2 linked regions of the Anolis sagrei genome follow. The protein of the gene in region 1 interacts with the protein of each later gene in a pairwise test. Links are inferred from orthologs where the notes say so. Each region holds a gene or a part of one and is shown in the gene's direction. Other genes may lie near its edges. The genes, in order: MIA2 and TTC23L.

Evidence for each region.
Region 2: the proteins of MIA2 (region 1) and TTC23L interact in binary tests that used the Homo sapiens proteins (3 or more experiments, as listed by UniProt). The two-hybrid records come from large-scale screens. The link is inferred for Anolis sagrei from reciprocal best matches to the Homo sapiens genes MIA2 and TTC23L.

Annotation. Positions count from the first base shown.
Region 1 is NC_090021.1:303,593,992-303,602,050, forward strand, and holds the start of MIA2 (melanoma inhibitory activity protein 2), read left to right. Parts: upstream 1-4,985; 5' UTR 4,986-5,111; coding exon 5,112-5,226; intron 5,227-8,059. UniProt on the Homo sapiens protein: Plays a role in the transport of cargos that are too large to fit into COPII-coated vesicles and require specific mechanisms to be incorporated into membrane-bound carriers and exported from the endoplasmic reticulum.
Region 2 is NC_090022.1:280,073,475-280,081,484, reverse strand, and holds the start of TTC23L (tetratricopeptide repeat protein 23-like), read left to right. Parts: upstream 1-4,943; 5' UTR 4,944-4,955; coding exon 4,956-5,075; intron 5,076-5,696; coding exon 5,697-5,820; intron 5,821-8,010.

The DNA of each region.
Region 1 (8,059 bases):
CTGGGTTACTGTGCTGAAAGGAGAGGAGGCACATAGCTGGTAGAAGCCCAGCAAAGGGTTTCTTTCAGCCCCACGACTTCCTGCCAGGACCCTCACTTAAGTATAAGCCAAGGGGGCCTTTTTATTAATTTATTTATAACATGTATATTCTGCCCTTCTCACTCCGCAGGGGACTCAAGGTGAGGCACAACATATGTATGGCAAACATTCAATGCCAGGACATGAAACCATAAATATATAAAAACATTAAACTCGCATATGCACTTTAAAATCAGTTGCTTAAAAACCATTTCCGCACAATTCAATTATTGCCTCACTGGACTGCCCCAAAGGCTTGGTCCACAGCCAGGTCTTCACCATCCTTCCGAGGACAGGAGGGAGGGGGCTGACCTAATATTTCCAGGAAGGGAGTTCCATAACCAGGGGGCAATCACTGAGAAGGCCTTGTCTCTCGTCCCTGCCAAACATGCCTGTGATGGCAGGACAGAGCAGGGCCTCCCCAGAAGATCTTGGTTTTCGCAGTGGTTTGTAAAGGGAGATGCGTTCAGACAGGTAAACTGGGCCGGGGCCGTTTAGGGCTTTATAGGCCAAAGCCAGCACTTTGAATTGTGCCTGGTAGCAAAAAAGCAGCCAGTGGATCTGGCATAACGGAGTTGTGGGCTCCCTATATGCTGCCGCAGTTATTAACCTGGCTGCCTCTCTTGACTATTTGAAGCAGTCCCATGTAGAGCACGTTGCAGTAGTCTATCCTGGATGTAAAAAGAGCGTGAACCACCGTGGCCAAGGCTGACTTCCCAAGGTACGGGCACAGCTGGCGCACAAGTTTTAATTGTGAACATAAAAAATTGCTGAAAAACTAGGCTTATACTTGAGTATATACAGTACATCCTGCTCTTCTCAACCCCGGAGGGGACTCGGGGCAGCCTTACAAAGGCAACAATTCAATGCTGAGTGTACACGTTGATAAATAAACATTAAAACCAACCAGTTAAAACATCACATTAGGCAACAATTTAACATCGCACAATCTGGGGCCAGTCTGAGTTGTCAATGTTAATTTATTAGCTGCTCCCATTACTGACCAAAGCCCTGATCCCAAAGCCATGTTTTTAGTTTTTTTCTGAAGGCCATTAGGGAGGGGGCCAATCCATAGAAGAGGGGCCACCACTGAAAAGGCCCTGTCTCTCATCCCCACCAATGGGATCGAGAGCAGTTCTTCCTCCGACATTCGTCTCCGTGGTGGATCATGGAGGTATGTTCAGACATGTAAGCTGGGTCGGAAACATTTAGGGATATATAGGCTAAAGGCAGCATTTTGAATTGTGCTCAGTAGCAGACTCACAGCCAGTGAAGTGTCTTGAGATGGGGTGGAGAATCTGTTTTTGGAGACAATTTCAACCTATAGCAACACTGGTTTCCTAGCAAAGTTTATTCAGGGGACATTAGCCATTGCCTTCTGAGGGAGTGTGACTAGCTCAAGGTCACCCACTGGTTTTCTGAGACGACAGGTCGGCATTGGTACAGTGCATAAATGGTGTTAATATGGACACTAGGCATATCTCCCTGGAAAGATTATCACACAAGGCATGGCAGAGTGCCACTTGTCATATGTGTTGGCACGTATGGCATCAAGGAGTATTTGATGTAAAGAAGCAGTTCTCTGCTTCAATAAGTACCTCGTAAGCATTTTATTTTATGTTAGATTCACAAAAATGAAGCCTCAATTTTTAAAACAGTCTCATGAAGCAGGTTATTTATTTACTATATAAGTATTGTTAAAGACAAAGGAGTTTTTTTTCCTAAAGACATTATCACACCAATTATCTTGTGGCAATCGTGTTGTTTAAGCCAATGGAAACATACCTCATGGAAGACATTACACTTCGCTGCAATCGAGCTATGGCCTTCCTTTAGCAATCACAGTCCTATGATCACTCTTGCATAAACTTCCTCCTTCATCCTACTTGGAAATAGCAAGCAGGAGAGGAGGAAATTGCTAGGATATTGAAACTGTTGCCAAAGTTACTGATCACACAAGAGTCAATGTTAAACAGAAGCAATATTGGGAGCCATTGATAGGTTTTTCGACAGTTACAAATAATAGAATGCAAACAAAGGAGAAATAGCATCATGTGATAATTACCAGCCAAAGAAGGTACTGCAGATTTCTAGCCTTATGTGATAAAAGGCCTAAAATACTCTAAAATAAAAGTCATTATACCTGTCTGAAATTGTATAATCATCTACTAAAGCCATCTCAAATAGAAAATTCCCTCTTTAGGAGGATACATAAAATAGAAGAGAGAAATGAGCTAAAAGAGACTTGCACATCTTAGAGACTCCTAGAATGGGATTAATTTAGTTTGAAGGTATTTTTTCCTAGGTAAACATGGAGGATTGCAATTCAAACAGCTCTGTGTATCAAGAGTAACTTGGAATGTATTGTCGAAGGCTTTCATGGCTGGAATCACTGGGTTGTTGTAGGTTTTTGGTCTGTATGACCATGTTCCAGAAGCAGTCTTTCCTAAGGTTTCGCCTGCATCTATGGCAGGTATCCTCAGAGGTTGTGAGGTCTGTTGGAAACCAGGAACATTGGGTTTATATATCTGTGGAAAGTCCAGGGTGGAAAAAGCACTCTTGTCTGTTGGAGCTAGGTGTGTTTCAATTGGCCACCTTGGTTAGCATTCAATGGCCTGACAGTTTTTAGGTGTGACTTGTTACTGCCTGGGGGAATACTTTGTTGAGATTTTATTAGCTGTCCCTGCTTGTTTCGTCTCTGGAGTTCCCCTGTGTTTGAGTGTTGTTCTTTATTTACTGTTATAATTTTAGAGTTTGTTAATACTGGTAGCCAGATTTTGTTCATTTTCATGGTTTCTTCCTTTCTGTTGAAATTCAGTTAAAGAACAACAACCCTGTAATTTGGAACTTGGAAACTGGTATCCAAGTTGCTTTAAAGGAAGCTGCTTACCAACATTGGTTTATGCCTCCAATTACAATGGGAGAATGATCCTAGAACCAACTGCACACTCAAGTAAAGCACATGTAAGGTTTATTTGAGCAATAGATAAGAAGGTGAAAGGCAATCTTGTTATAAAACCAGTAAATAATATAAAAACAATATACTGGGTTGCTGTGAGTTTTCCAGAAGCATTTTCTCCTAACGTTTTGCCCACATCTATGGCAGGAATCCTCAGAGATTGTGAGACCTCACAACCTCTGTGGATGCCTGTCACAGATGTGGGTGAAACGTCAGGAGAGAATGCTTCTGGAATATGGCCATACAGCCTGGAAAACTAACAGCAACCTAGTGACTCAGGCCATGAAAGCCTTTGACAACACATAAAAACAATATAGTTACATAATAAAAATGGTTACACCATAGAAACCTTAGCAATTATAAGAGGAAAGTCTTCAAAGAACATAAAAAGGTATGATCGGGATGAAGTTTAATCTTGCAATTAATCTAAAAACAATGGTTTTGTTTCAAAAAGTTTCCCAAAAGTTTGCTTCTCTCATTTTAAGAGTAGTCTAGAAATCCTAATAGATACCGAGGGAGAATGTGATAGTGGATTATAAATTGATCATAAACAGTCATAAAAACCAAATTGTAATTCTCAAACCAATTGACATTTTACCTGTTTCTGATTCAACTCGTATAATCCCCCCCCCCCCCACGTGCGCAATAATCGCATGTAATTTGGAATGCTGTGTTGACCAATGGGAAGGCAGGTCTGAAAGGAGAAAGAAAAAGAGTTGGAAAAGACAGTTGGAGAAAAAACTAGATTGGAGAAAGGAAAACACTGACTAGAACAAACAAAGGTGAGTGAACCAACACAACACATACCCATTTGTAAATTGGGTTAATCCACAAGGGAAAAAATATTTAGAAGCATTGAAATGTCACACTTTTTAAAATTAATCTGGATATTCCAGTTTTGTCTCTAAATTCTTCATGAAATACGCTGTGTTTCCCTCTCTCCCCACTCGCTTGTATTCTTCCTCTTCTCTCTTCCACTGATCACAGGTCATATCTAGACTCAGACAACATTGCAAAATCTGATTTTTTAAAGGAATTAATATGATCAGGTGGTAAGGCATAATGGAAAATAAAAGTTCAAGTGAATCCTCGATGTAATGTATCCACATCTCCATGCTCATAAGGTAATATTGGTAAACTCAGTAGTCCTCACCTTTCTTGTCTCATCTGGTTGTGGTGATGATAAAATAACTTCACTGTGAGCTCCCTGGAAGAAGTCATTTCATGATAATTTTTAGAAGGCCGATCTGATATCCCTAGGGAGATCTCTCCATAGCCAAGGGGCCACCACTGAGAAGACACTGTCTCTCGTCCCCGCCAGACATACTTATGACAAAGGCAGAATTTAGAGCAGGGCCTCCCCAGACAATCTTAAGATCCTAGATGGTTCATAAGGGGCGAAACGTCAGGCGAAACATCAGGAAAGACTGCTACTTGCACATGGCCATATAACCCGAAAAACCTACAACAACCCAGTGATTCTGGCCATTATAATAAAGTATCTATGTTGTAGTTCACTGATTTGAGTGCTGGGGGCGTGATTCTGGAGAGCAGGCTTTGAATCTCTACTGATCCATGGAAACCCTCTGGGAAAGTCATAGTTTCTCAGCCTCAAAGGAAGGCAAAGGCAAACCCCCTCTGAACAAATCTTGTCAAACAAACCTCTGTGATAAGATTGCCTTAGGATCCTCATAAGTCAGAAATGACTTGAAGGTACACAACAGTGATCACTGGTTTTGTTTAGTGTCTTTAATCATTTTGTATCTGTCTCCTCACAATTTCCCATAAAGTACCCTTAATTAGAATATATGGATTCCATCACTTGACTGAAAACGCCTTTTCTGTTTCAAAATACTAGCCTCTGTTATCAAATGTAGTTAATTATTAATTTGCTTAATCAGGACAGTTGACTTGGCAGATTGCTGAGAGGGCATTTCTGCAATCAGAGTTCGACGAGAAAAGGAACACAGACTAAAGACGTTAACTAAATAAGGAAAGGAATTATCTAAGTTACTAAATTCTTGACAAAAAGTATTTTTAATTCTTTTAGGATTATCATAATTCAGTTTTTAGGATGGTGATGAATTGTGAGGTCAGGTTTTTTCTACTACTTATTTCGTCGCTAACCAACATCAGGAGTGAAAAGGTATTGTCAGACCGGAAAAAGTGTGGCGACCCAGAATGCGAAAGTAAGTACAAAGATCTGTGATTTACATAAAATGCAAATTAAAAATAAAATACAGCAACAAATTTATTTGAAACTCAGTATGTACCTTAAATTCTGATCAAACAAGGTTTAAGAAGAGATTGTTCTATATGTTTTAAACACAACAATTGTGGAAGAAGAATTGTTTTTGTGAAGCCATTGGGTTAATTTATGGTGTTGTTTATGGGAAAGGACAAAGTTCAGTTAGGAAAAAAGAAGCCTGCTAAGAAAGCTTTAAACCAGTGGTTCTCAACCTTCCTAATGCCCCAACCCTTTAATACAGTTCCTCATGTTGTGGTGACCCCCAACCATAAAATTATTTTTGTTGCTACTTCATAAATGTAATGTTGCTATTGTTATGCATCGCAATGTAAATATTTGATATGCAGGATGTATTTTCATTCACTGGACCAAATTGGCCACAAATACCCCATATGCCCAAATTTGAATACTGGTGGGGTTGGGATGGGGGGGGGGGTTATTTTATAATTTGGGAGTTGGCGTTCCTGAGATTTATAGTTCACCTACAATCGAAGAGCATTCTGAACTCCACCAACAATGGAATTGAGCCAAACTTGTCACACAGAACTCCCACAACCAACAGAATATACTGGAAGGGTTTGGTGGGCATTGCCCTTGAGTTTTGGAGTTGTAGTTCACCTACACCCAGACAGCACTGTGGACTCAAACAATGATGTATCTGGACCAAACTTGGCACAAATACTCAATATGTCCAAATGTGAACACTGATGGAGTTTGGGGAAAATAGACCTTGACATTTGGGAGTTGTAGTTACTGGGATTTATAGTTCACCCACAATCAAAGAGCATTCTGAAGGCCATCAACAAGAGAATTGGGACAAACTTCCCACAGAGAACTCCAATGATCGACAGAAAATACTGTGTTTTCTGATGGTTTTTGGTGACCGCTTTGACACCCCCTCGCGACCCCCCAGGGGTCCTGAACCCAGGTTGAGAAACACTGCTTTAAACTATCTCAGTGTCATCCCTACATAAAGGTAAAGGTTTTCCCTTGATATTAAGTCCAGTCGTGTCTGACTCTGGGGATTGGTGCTCATCTCTATTTCTAAGCCGAAGAGCCGGCGTCGTCCGTAGACACCTCTAAGGTCATGTGGCTGGCAAAGAGTTATACTTTACAGGAATGATTGTTTAACAAATATATGTAATTTGTTTGTCTGACCAACTTACACTATATGTTAGGTGTGTTGGCCCATCATTCTTTTATAGACTCTACCTTGCCTGTTCTGGCAGTTTGTCTAACTTAACTTTATACACACTTAACTGTCTTAATTAATTATAGTGGGCTGAAGAAAGGATTGTGCTAGAGTCAAAGATACAGTCCTCCAGCTGTTGGACTTGAATAACTAGTATTCTTCATAACTGGCTACACTGGCAAGGATCAATGGGAGACTCCGTCCTGATCTGTAGGATTAATATACTGATGCAATGTCCATCAGTATAATTGGTAGGTACTCATTCCTGCTCTCTGGCCTTATAGTAACCCTAGAAATTTGGTCTGGGCACCCCAGTTCATGCACAGAGACAAATTACACAGACCTTCCTGGATTCCTATTAGTCAAGTTGAGCCATCAAATGTTAAGGAAGGAGTAGACAGGTAGTAGACATATAGTATGCCTGGAAACATTTCACAGATCGAAACAAGGGTACTCCTGGGAAGAGTAATGCAGAAGGCACTGTTTACATTCCAAATTGTAATTGTGCTGGGAAAAGAAGCTAATGCTCTACATGACTTCAATGCTATAGGATAAACTACCATATATATACTCATGTATACATCAAGCTCATATAGAAATTGAGGACAGCTTTTGGGGATAGATTTATGGGCATGTATATGATCCATGAATAAGTCAAATAATATTCCATGGAGAATATTAGTAATGTTAACTTTTCTATACTTCCACATTATTTATATTTAGTAGGGTCCCCCCCCCCCCTACATTTTCTAATTGCAAATTCTTTTATTGTGGGAGCCCCTTTTGTGGAACCTGGTTCAGCTGCATCATTGGCATATGGTGGATCGTGAATCTGGCAATGGAAAATTTCTGTAGTGCTCCCTTCCTTCGATGCCCTAAGCATGTGCTTACTTTGCATAATGGTTAACCCTGCCCTTCTGTAAGATATCATATTCCTTGTACAGTCAGCCCACTATATCCATGGATTCTGTATCCACAAATTCAACCATTCATGGCTTTGAAATATGTATTTGTTAAAAATAAAAAAAAACATATAAGGGACATTATTGTACTACACCTATATATATATATATATATATATATATATATATCACCCCCTGGTGGTGCAGCAGGTTAAACTGCTGAGCTGCTGAACTTGCTCAGTGAAAGGTTGGCGGTTTAAATCCAAGGAGCAGGGTAAGCTCCTACTGTTAGACCCAGCTTCTGCCAAACTAGCAGTTCGAAAACATGCAAATGTGAGTAGATCAAGAGGTACCATTTTAGTGGGAAGGTAATGGGACTCCATGCAGTCATGCCGGTCAAATGAACTTGGAGGGGTCTACAGACAAAGCCGTCTCTTCGACTTAGAAATGGAGATGAGCACTACCCCCCAGAGTCAGACATGACTAGACTTAATGTTATGGGAAACCTTAACCTATATATAGAGGGGGGGGAGGGAAAGGGAGAGAAAGGCTTGAGGATCTGGGGATTTTGGTGTTCACACGGGGCTCTGGGACCAAACTCTAGTGGACAGCAAAGGCCCACTGATATTACACTGGAAGCCTTTGTTTATAAGGGTCACCAAACAAACTGCACTCACAGT
Region 2 (8,010 bases), on another chromosome or scaffold:
CTAACCTCCCAACAAAGGATTCCCCCAGACAGCAACCAGCCAGACTTTGAAGTTGCAAGGCCATCAAATGCTAATCAGAGTGGCCAACTGCAACATTCACACTTGCCTCAAGCAGACAAGAGTACTTTCTCCCACCCTGGGCATTCCAAAGATATGTAAACCCCACTTGCCTAATTTCCAACAGACCTCTCAACCTCTGAGGATGCCTGCCATTGATGTGGGTGAAACACCAGGAGAGAATGCATCTGGACTATGGCCATACAGCCTAGAAAACTCACTGCAACCCATTGATTCTGACCATCAAAGCCTTTGACAACACACTGCATTTAAAAACATTCAAATGTCTACATAAATGTTCTTTCTAGGAAGCTCTAGAGCACTGCTTCTTAAACTGTGGGTCCAGACCCAAAAAGGGGTCCACTTAGCTCAGTGTTGGGGTCATAAAAATTTTGTTAACCGTAAAAGTTTTTTGGACACCACACATTTACACAAATGTGTTAAGCATAACATGCAGTATTTACAGCAGACTCTGCAGAAAATACTTCAGCTGTACTCCATGAAAAAGAAAAACCTTGTTTAGCAAGCCTTGCTGATGCTGATTTATTATCAGTAACTGTTTGATTTTTATACTTTTATACCTATAACGTATTTATACCTATAAACTCTAAAATCATAACAGTTAATAAAGAGCAACACTCAAAAACGGGAATTCCAGACAAGAAACAATCAGGGCCAGCTAATCACTTTTCAACAAAGTATTCCCCCAGGCAGTAAGAAGCTTGACCTTGAAAGCCGCTAGGCCTCACAACCAACAGAACATTGTTCTGGTTGCAGATGACACGATAAATAAATAAATACAACCAACAGACCTCACAACCTCTGAGGGTGCCTGCCATAGATGCAGGTGAAACATTAGGAGAGAATGCTTCTGGAACATGACCATATTGCCCGGAAAACACATAACAACCCTGTGATTGCAGCCATGAATAGTACATTGAGAGAGATTCCTTGAGAGAACATATAAATTAAACATATAAATAATCAAATTCACAAACAGTGAAATTAACAAATATGGGATGCCAACTGTACATAGAAGGTTGGTTACCAAGGATATCAAATTTTAACTTGAACCTTTTTCTGCTCTCCAAATTGCATTTTGCCTGGCTGTGTTTGGACCATACCAATTGCGTGTATGCAAAGACAGACAGACCATAAGCAAACATCCTTACAACATTCTTGTGAAAATAAAATACAGCTTGGATTTGGAAGTGGGCCTAACAGACTCAATGGCTCAAATAGTGTTGCTTTTTTGTTCTAATGATCCATCACAGAGGACAGCCTGCCAGCTCCGTTGAGTTCAATTGCTTCTGGTTACAAAGGAAAGAAAGGCACTCTCTTTCAAGCGTGAGGAAAGCATTTTGTCACCAGGACAACTCCGGCAACAAGCTGTCACCCTGGCTACGGCTTGGAAGGGGGACCTTGGATTTGCTGTGGGAAAGGAACAAGATGCCCTTTGCCTTGCGTGCCCAGTGAAAGTGAACCCTACAAAGGGCTACCAGAGGCCAAAGGCAAGTGAGGGGAAGAGGTCTTTTCACTCTGTTCCTGGCCTGGTGCAGAGGTAGGAGGAACTTCTTCTGAGCCAATTTCCTTGTTGGGAATCAAAATTAGGGTGTTTGATACCATTCCAGGAACAGCTTTTATATTTAGTATATTAGAAAGGGGAACATGGATATGAAAAGATGCTGAGAGAGAAAACCAACACTGGGTCAGAGAGCAGGAGTCAAATAAAAATGTTCCTTGTACTGTCTAAGGCTTTCATGGCCAAAACCACTGGGTTGTTGTAGGTTTTTTGGGCTATATGGCCATGTTTTAGAAGCATTCTCTCCTAACGTTTTGCCTGCATCTATGGCAGGCATCCTCAGAGGTTGTGGACCTCATAACCTCTGAGGACGCCTGCCATAGATGCAGATGAAAAGTCAGGAGAAAATGCTTCTAGCCATATAGCCTGAAAATGCTACAACAACCCAAAAATCTTCCTAACATCACAAATGGCTTTAAAAAGCTACCATTCCTTGAAACTGCTATTTGTTTCACATAGTAATTCTTTAATGTAAATAGCTTTAGCAATTTCCGCCCTGCAACTATAGGGTTGGGATGAAACCATCTTCATAATCCAACGTGGAAGAGGGGATATGCAAAAAGGATGGGGATTGGGACCATTCTTACAAAGTTTGGAGATCAAGGGCATGCAGTTTCTATAGATTTAGAAGAGAGACTGTGGATACAATGGAAAAGCTCAAGGTGACAGCAAATCTGTGAACTGCAAGACCTTGCCCTGACTTTGGAGCAAACTTCAGTTGCATGCAGATGCCAGTCCAGTGCCATCTAAAACAAGGCCTTACCCAGAGACTTCTGCCAACATCTCTTAAACTGAGTTTTCCAATGATTCTACCAAGAAAGATTTGCATTCAAAGCTTGTGCTTTGTCACTGAACTATGATCCAACCCCAGCAATAGATACTATTATTTTATTTATTTTATTTACAGTATTTATATTCCACCCTCCTCACCCTGTAGGAGACTCAGGGAGGATTACAATGCACATATACATGGCAAACATTCAGTGTCATAGACATACAACATATATAGACAGACACAGAGGCAATTTAACATTCCAACTTTCCAGCTTCATGAGGGTATGCTTGATTTCGGCCACAGGAGGAGCTGCCACTTCACCGTCCACTTGTGACATCGAGTCCTTGATGGAGTACTTCCTCATTCTTACACATGCTGCTGGAAGGTTTTATGGTGTTGTAAATTAGCTAAATTAGCCTCCCCTGCATAAAGTGGTACCTAAATTTCCTACTTGACAGATGCAGCTGTCTTTCGGGCTACATAGGTCAACAGCAAGTAGACTATTAATGATCAGGAGCTCACTCCGACCCAGGCTGGCTTCAAACTCATGACCTCTTGATCAGTAGTGATTTAATACAGCTGGCTACTAACTAGCTGTGCCATGATCTAGTCCAACCTTTCCCAAATGACGCAGATCTAGATTACTCATATGTACAAAAAAAAGTTCTTCCAGAGCAATATAATCAGTCCTCCACATTTGCAGGTTTGACCTTTTTGAATGTGATCATTTGAGGATTTGATTTAAATTTTCTCACTAGAAATCTCTACAGTCTTCAGAGTGACTCCATGGTCAGCTTCGACCAGAACTGCTCTTACAAGAGAACCAGTAGAATAATGTTTCTTAGTGCTGGATTTGAAACAGCAATGATGATGATGATGATGATGATGATGATGATGATGATGATGATGTTTCTTAGTGCTGGGTTTGAAACAGCAATACTACTACTACTACTAATAATAATAATAATAATAATAATAATAACAACAACAACAACAATAACAACAACAACTACTACTACTACTTTATTCTTATATCCCGCCATCATCTCCCCGAAGGGACTGTGGGCAGCTTACAAAGTGCCTAAAAACAAACATAAAAATGAAGCAGAATATAAAGTACAATGAGATAAAACACATATGCACATTCAGACTCAGTAAAACTAAGGACATCAACCAGCAACATACTTTCAAATTCTTATTTGGTCATGGATTCACTGGGAACAGATTTAAAAGGTGGCTGTTTTCTTGTAGGAGTAAGAAAGTGGCAATTTTGGTGGAGTGGGGAGCAAAAGGGATGAGCTGGAGCAGAAGGAGTGGATGGAGGCATTGAACTTGCTGGAACAGGTTGAAAAGGTGGCTGAATTTTCTTGGATGTAAAGAGGTGGTACTTTTAGTTGGGTTGGAGATACTCCCACATGAGTATGTTTTTCCCAGAGGTTATTCCACTAAAAGTTTATCTTTTGCCCAACTATTGTATATTTCATCTGCCAGCACTCCAACCACTTGTTCCTTTTCTTTGCCCACCATTTGCAGGTAACACCACTGCTTCCATCTCAGGCATGTGGTGCAGAGTTTCCAAAAAAGAAGCATGTATTCATTTTAATTTCAGCCACTTTTTTAAGGTGGTGATCATATAGTTTACCTCAATTGATAGCTTTGTCAGAAAGTCATTTATACAAACGTGGTTGAATCCAGAGGTTAATCCAAACCACAACTGAACTGTTAGTTCTCTTTATAATGACAATTACACAATCCAACAAAATCTAACTTTTTGTAATCATCAGAAATGAGAGTAGCACAGTTTAAATCAATTTTTATGCTGATTTTAAAAATGTCTTTTTTATCACATCAATTTTTTTAATATGATGAATGGTGCATTATAGTGGACTACTGTAAAGTCTGCACATTTCACATCATATTCGTGTAACACAAGCCAACAAGTATTTTCCATCAGATATAATTTTAGATCATTCTTATAGAGTTTTTCACACGGAATGCAGATCTGTGTTTATTTTTTCTCTATTACAATGAAGCTAATTGAATAATTAGATTCTATTGATATCGGTGTGTAAATGCATTAATTATTTGATTTGCCTCATTGCAGAAACTACATTGTTGTTCATTCGTTCAGTTGTCTCCGACTCTTCGTGACCTCATGGACCACCTCACGCCAGAGCTCCCTGTTGGCCGTCACCACCCCCAGCTCCTTCAAGGTCAGTCCAGTCATTTCAAGGATGCCATCCATCCATCTTGCCCCTGGTCGGCCCCTCTTCCTTTTACTTTCCACTTTCACCAGCATAATTGTCTTCTCTACATATGATAGAGAAAAACCTAAACACAGATCTTCATTCAGTGTGAAAAACTCTATAAGAATGACTGAAAATTATATCTGATGAAAAATCCTTGTCGGCTTGAGTTATTTGTCTCTGAAGTAGTGACTGCTACTCCTCTGCAGAAAGGACATTTTTGGTCTGTTGACTCTTAGTTGTTAACTCCAATTTTATAACATTTAAGACTACAGAATAAGAAACGATCGAACACATGGAGGAAATTAAGGGCAACTGTGAAGGAGAGGAAATGAAGTTCAAGCTGTTTGCTACACCGCTAGATAAGTTAATGAAAGCACAGAAAAAGGCAGACAGGTTTGCTGAAGAAAAAGAGGTAACATTTCCCTTTTCATGTGCACAGTGATACAAGCTGACGGGTTCAACGATGTAGAAGCGTTAGAATAAGAGTTGCTTTTAACATTTGCTCAGGTTTCCCTCAAGGAATGGGAGGGATGATACGAGTGGTTTCTAAATCTTTAAGAGGGATCAAGATTTGGAATCAAAATGTCCAATCGGCCACGAGACTCAGTGGGTTGTTGTGAGATCAAGATGAAGGAAGGAATAACAGCTGCGAATTTGTGGAAGACAGAGGGGGGTCAAGCACAATGTCCATGCAAGGCATATCCGTGATTGTGTAAATGCTGCAGGAGAACAGCATCATGCAATGATGCCCTGAGTTGGGAAAGAAAAATACACACTTTCCTCCGGCCTCAAATGTTTTATGTGTTGTTGAGGGTTTTCATGGCCGGAATCACTGGGTTACTGTGTGTTTTCTGGGCTGTATGACCATGTTCCAGAAGCATTCTCTCCTAACGTTTTGCCCACATCTATGGCAGGCATCTTCAGAGGTTGGGAGGTCTTCTGGAACATGGCCAGAAAACTCACAGCAACCCACTCACATGTTTTATTTTTCACAACAAATCTAATTTGTATGTTATCTTTTTCTTTTCCCCAGGCACAAAATGCCTGCAAAGAACTAATCCAATGTATTGCTCTCACTCGAATTATCTATGGAAATGGGCACTGGCGGTTGGGGCAAGCATTTGCCAACCTTGCTCACGGCTATCTTGTGCTCCAAGGTAAAGCATCCACAGGTTGTTCTAAACAAAATACGGAAAAAGAGATACAATTTGATCCTGACATCAGTTGTAACTTCTGAAGAGAAAGCCAAATAAAGGCAATTAAGGCCAAGAGGAATTACGGAAATTGGGACCCCTTGTTCACATGTGTGGCATAGAAGCAAAATAAATGAATGCATTAATAAGGAAGCAAGTACAAAAGACAGTGACAGAAAATTACATGTGAGGATGTTTTCAATTACTGCAGACTAATCAAATGCATTTTCCTTACTTACTCAAGTAGCATAAAACACTGATGAGATCCAATGTGGTTTCCACACTGCACAAGAATAACAATTTTATTCCACTTTATATACCATGGCTTTTTCCTAATGATCTGTAGAATTGGTAGTTTAGGAAGATATTAAGTATTCTCCAATCCCTGAACACTATAGCCCCTTTCAATTTCCTCAGCAAAACTACAACTCCCAGGATTCCGTTGCACCCAGCCAGAACAAGTTAAAGTGATTTCAAAATGTTATAATGGTGTAATGTGGATATACCCAAAGTCTTAATTTATTATTTGCTTTATTTTTATCCCACTCATCTCCCAATACTGAGACTCAAAAAGGCTGGCATGACACAAAATAATTAAAACTGGGCAAATGCATTAAAATGTGAAACTAAAATAAAAACAGTACAATTACATCTTGCATGTCATGAACATAAAACATTAAAATTCATTTTAAATGACACAAAGTACTTAATCACACTGGAGAATGAATCCACTTTAAATCTGGTTTCTGCCACCTGCAGAATTCTGGGGTTTGTAGTTTAGGGAGGAGCCTTTAACAACCTCCCTAAACTATAAACCCCACAATTCTGCAGGTGGCAGAAACCAGATTTAAAGTGGATTCATTCTCCAGTGTGATGAGGTTCTTACAAAGTATTGATGAGCATTTTTCCTACTGCACTGGGCCTTGGAGCAATTGTATCAAGGAAACAGTTGAAATATAGCTTACCCTGGAGCAATTCTAGTTGTATTCCCTTGTCTTAGAAAAGCATGACTGATACTTAGGCGATCCCTCGTTGGACGAGTAAGATGGTCTTCCATCATGGGTTTCCTTGTGGGTCCGCATGTGGCTGTGGAGCCCTATTCTTGCTCTGCATCTTCTTCCGCAGTGAGGGCATTGGTTTCCAGGTGGAAGGCGGTCCCGGTCGGGGTTGGCTTGACGCGCCTTCCTCCTGGCACGTTTCTCTCTTTCACCCTCCACTCGTGCCTCCTCGAATTCTGCAGCACTGCTGGTCACAGCTGACCTCCAGCTGGAGCGCTCAAGGGCCAGGGCCTCCCAGTTCTCAGTGTCTATGCCAGAGTTTTTAAGGTTGGCTTTGAGCCCATCTTTAAATCTCTTTTCCTGTCCACCAACATTCCGTTTTCCGTTCTTGAGTTCGGAGTAGAGCAACTGCTTTGGGAGACGGTGGTCAGGCATCCGGACAACGTGGCCTGTCCAGCGGAGTTGATGTTGGAGGACCATCGCTTCAATGCTGGTGGTCTTTGCTTCCTCCAGCACGCTGACGTTTGTCCGCTTGTCTTCCCAGGAGATTTGCAGGATTTTCCGGAGGCAGCGCTGATGGAATCGTTCCAGGAGCTGCATGTGACGTCTGTAGACAGTCCATGTCTCACAGGCATATAGCAGGGTTGGGAGGACAATAGCTTTATAGACAAGCATCTTAGTATCCCTACGGATGTCCCGGTCCTCAAACACTCTCTGCTTCATTCGGGAAAATGCTGCACTTGCAGAGCTCAGGCGGTGTTGTATTTCGGCGTCGATGTTGACTTTGGTGGAGAGGTGGCTGCCAAGGTAGCGGAAATGGTCGACATTTTCTAATGTTACACCATTAAGCTGTATCTCTGGCATTGGAGAGGGGACGGCTGGTGACTGCTGGAACAGCACTTTGGTGCATGACTGATACCTCTCTATGATTAGAATGGAATCAGAGATGTAAAAATTCATTCTTAGGTCTCACATAGCAATAATTTGTTTGTATTTTTTAGGGTTTGCTTTCACTCTCTGCCTGTCTCATCCTCTGTGGCATGTTGTAATGCAGCTTCACTTGGAAACAAGCTGAGTTTGGGTAGGGAATGTTGGGAATTGTAACACCGAGTGATTTCAGGCAAGTCACTCTCTCTCAGCCTCTGGGGAAGGCAAA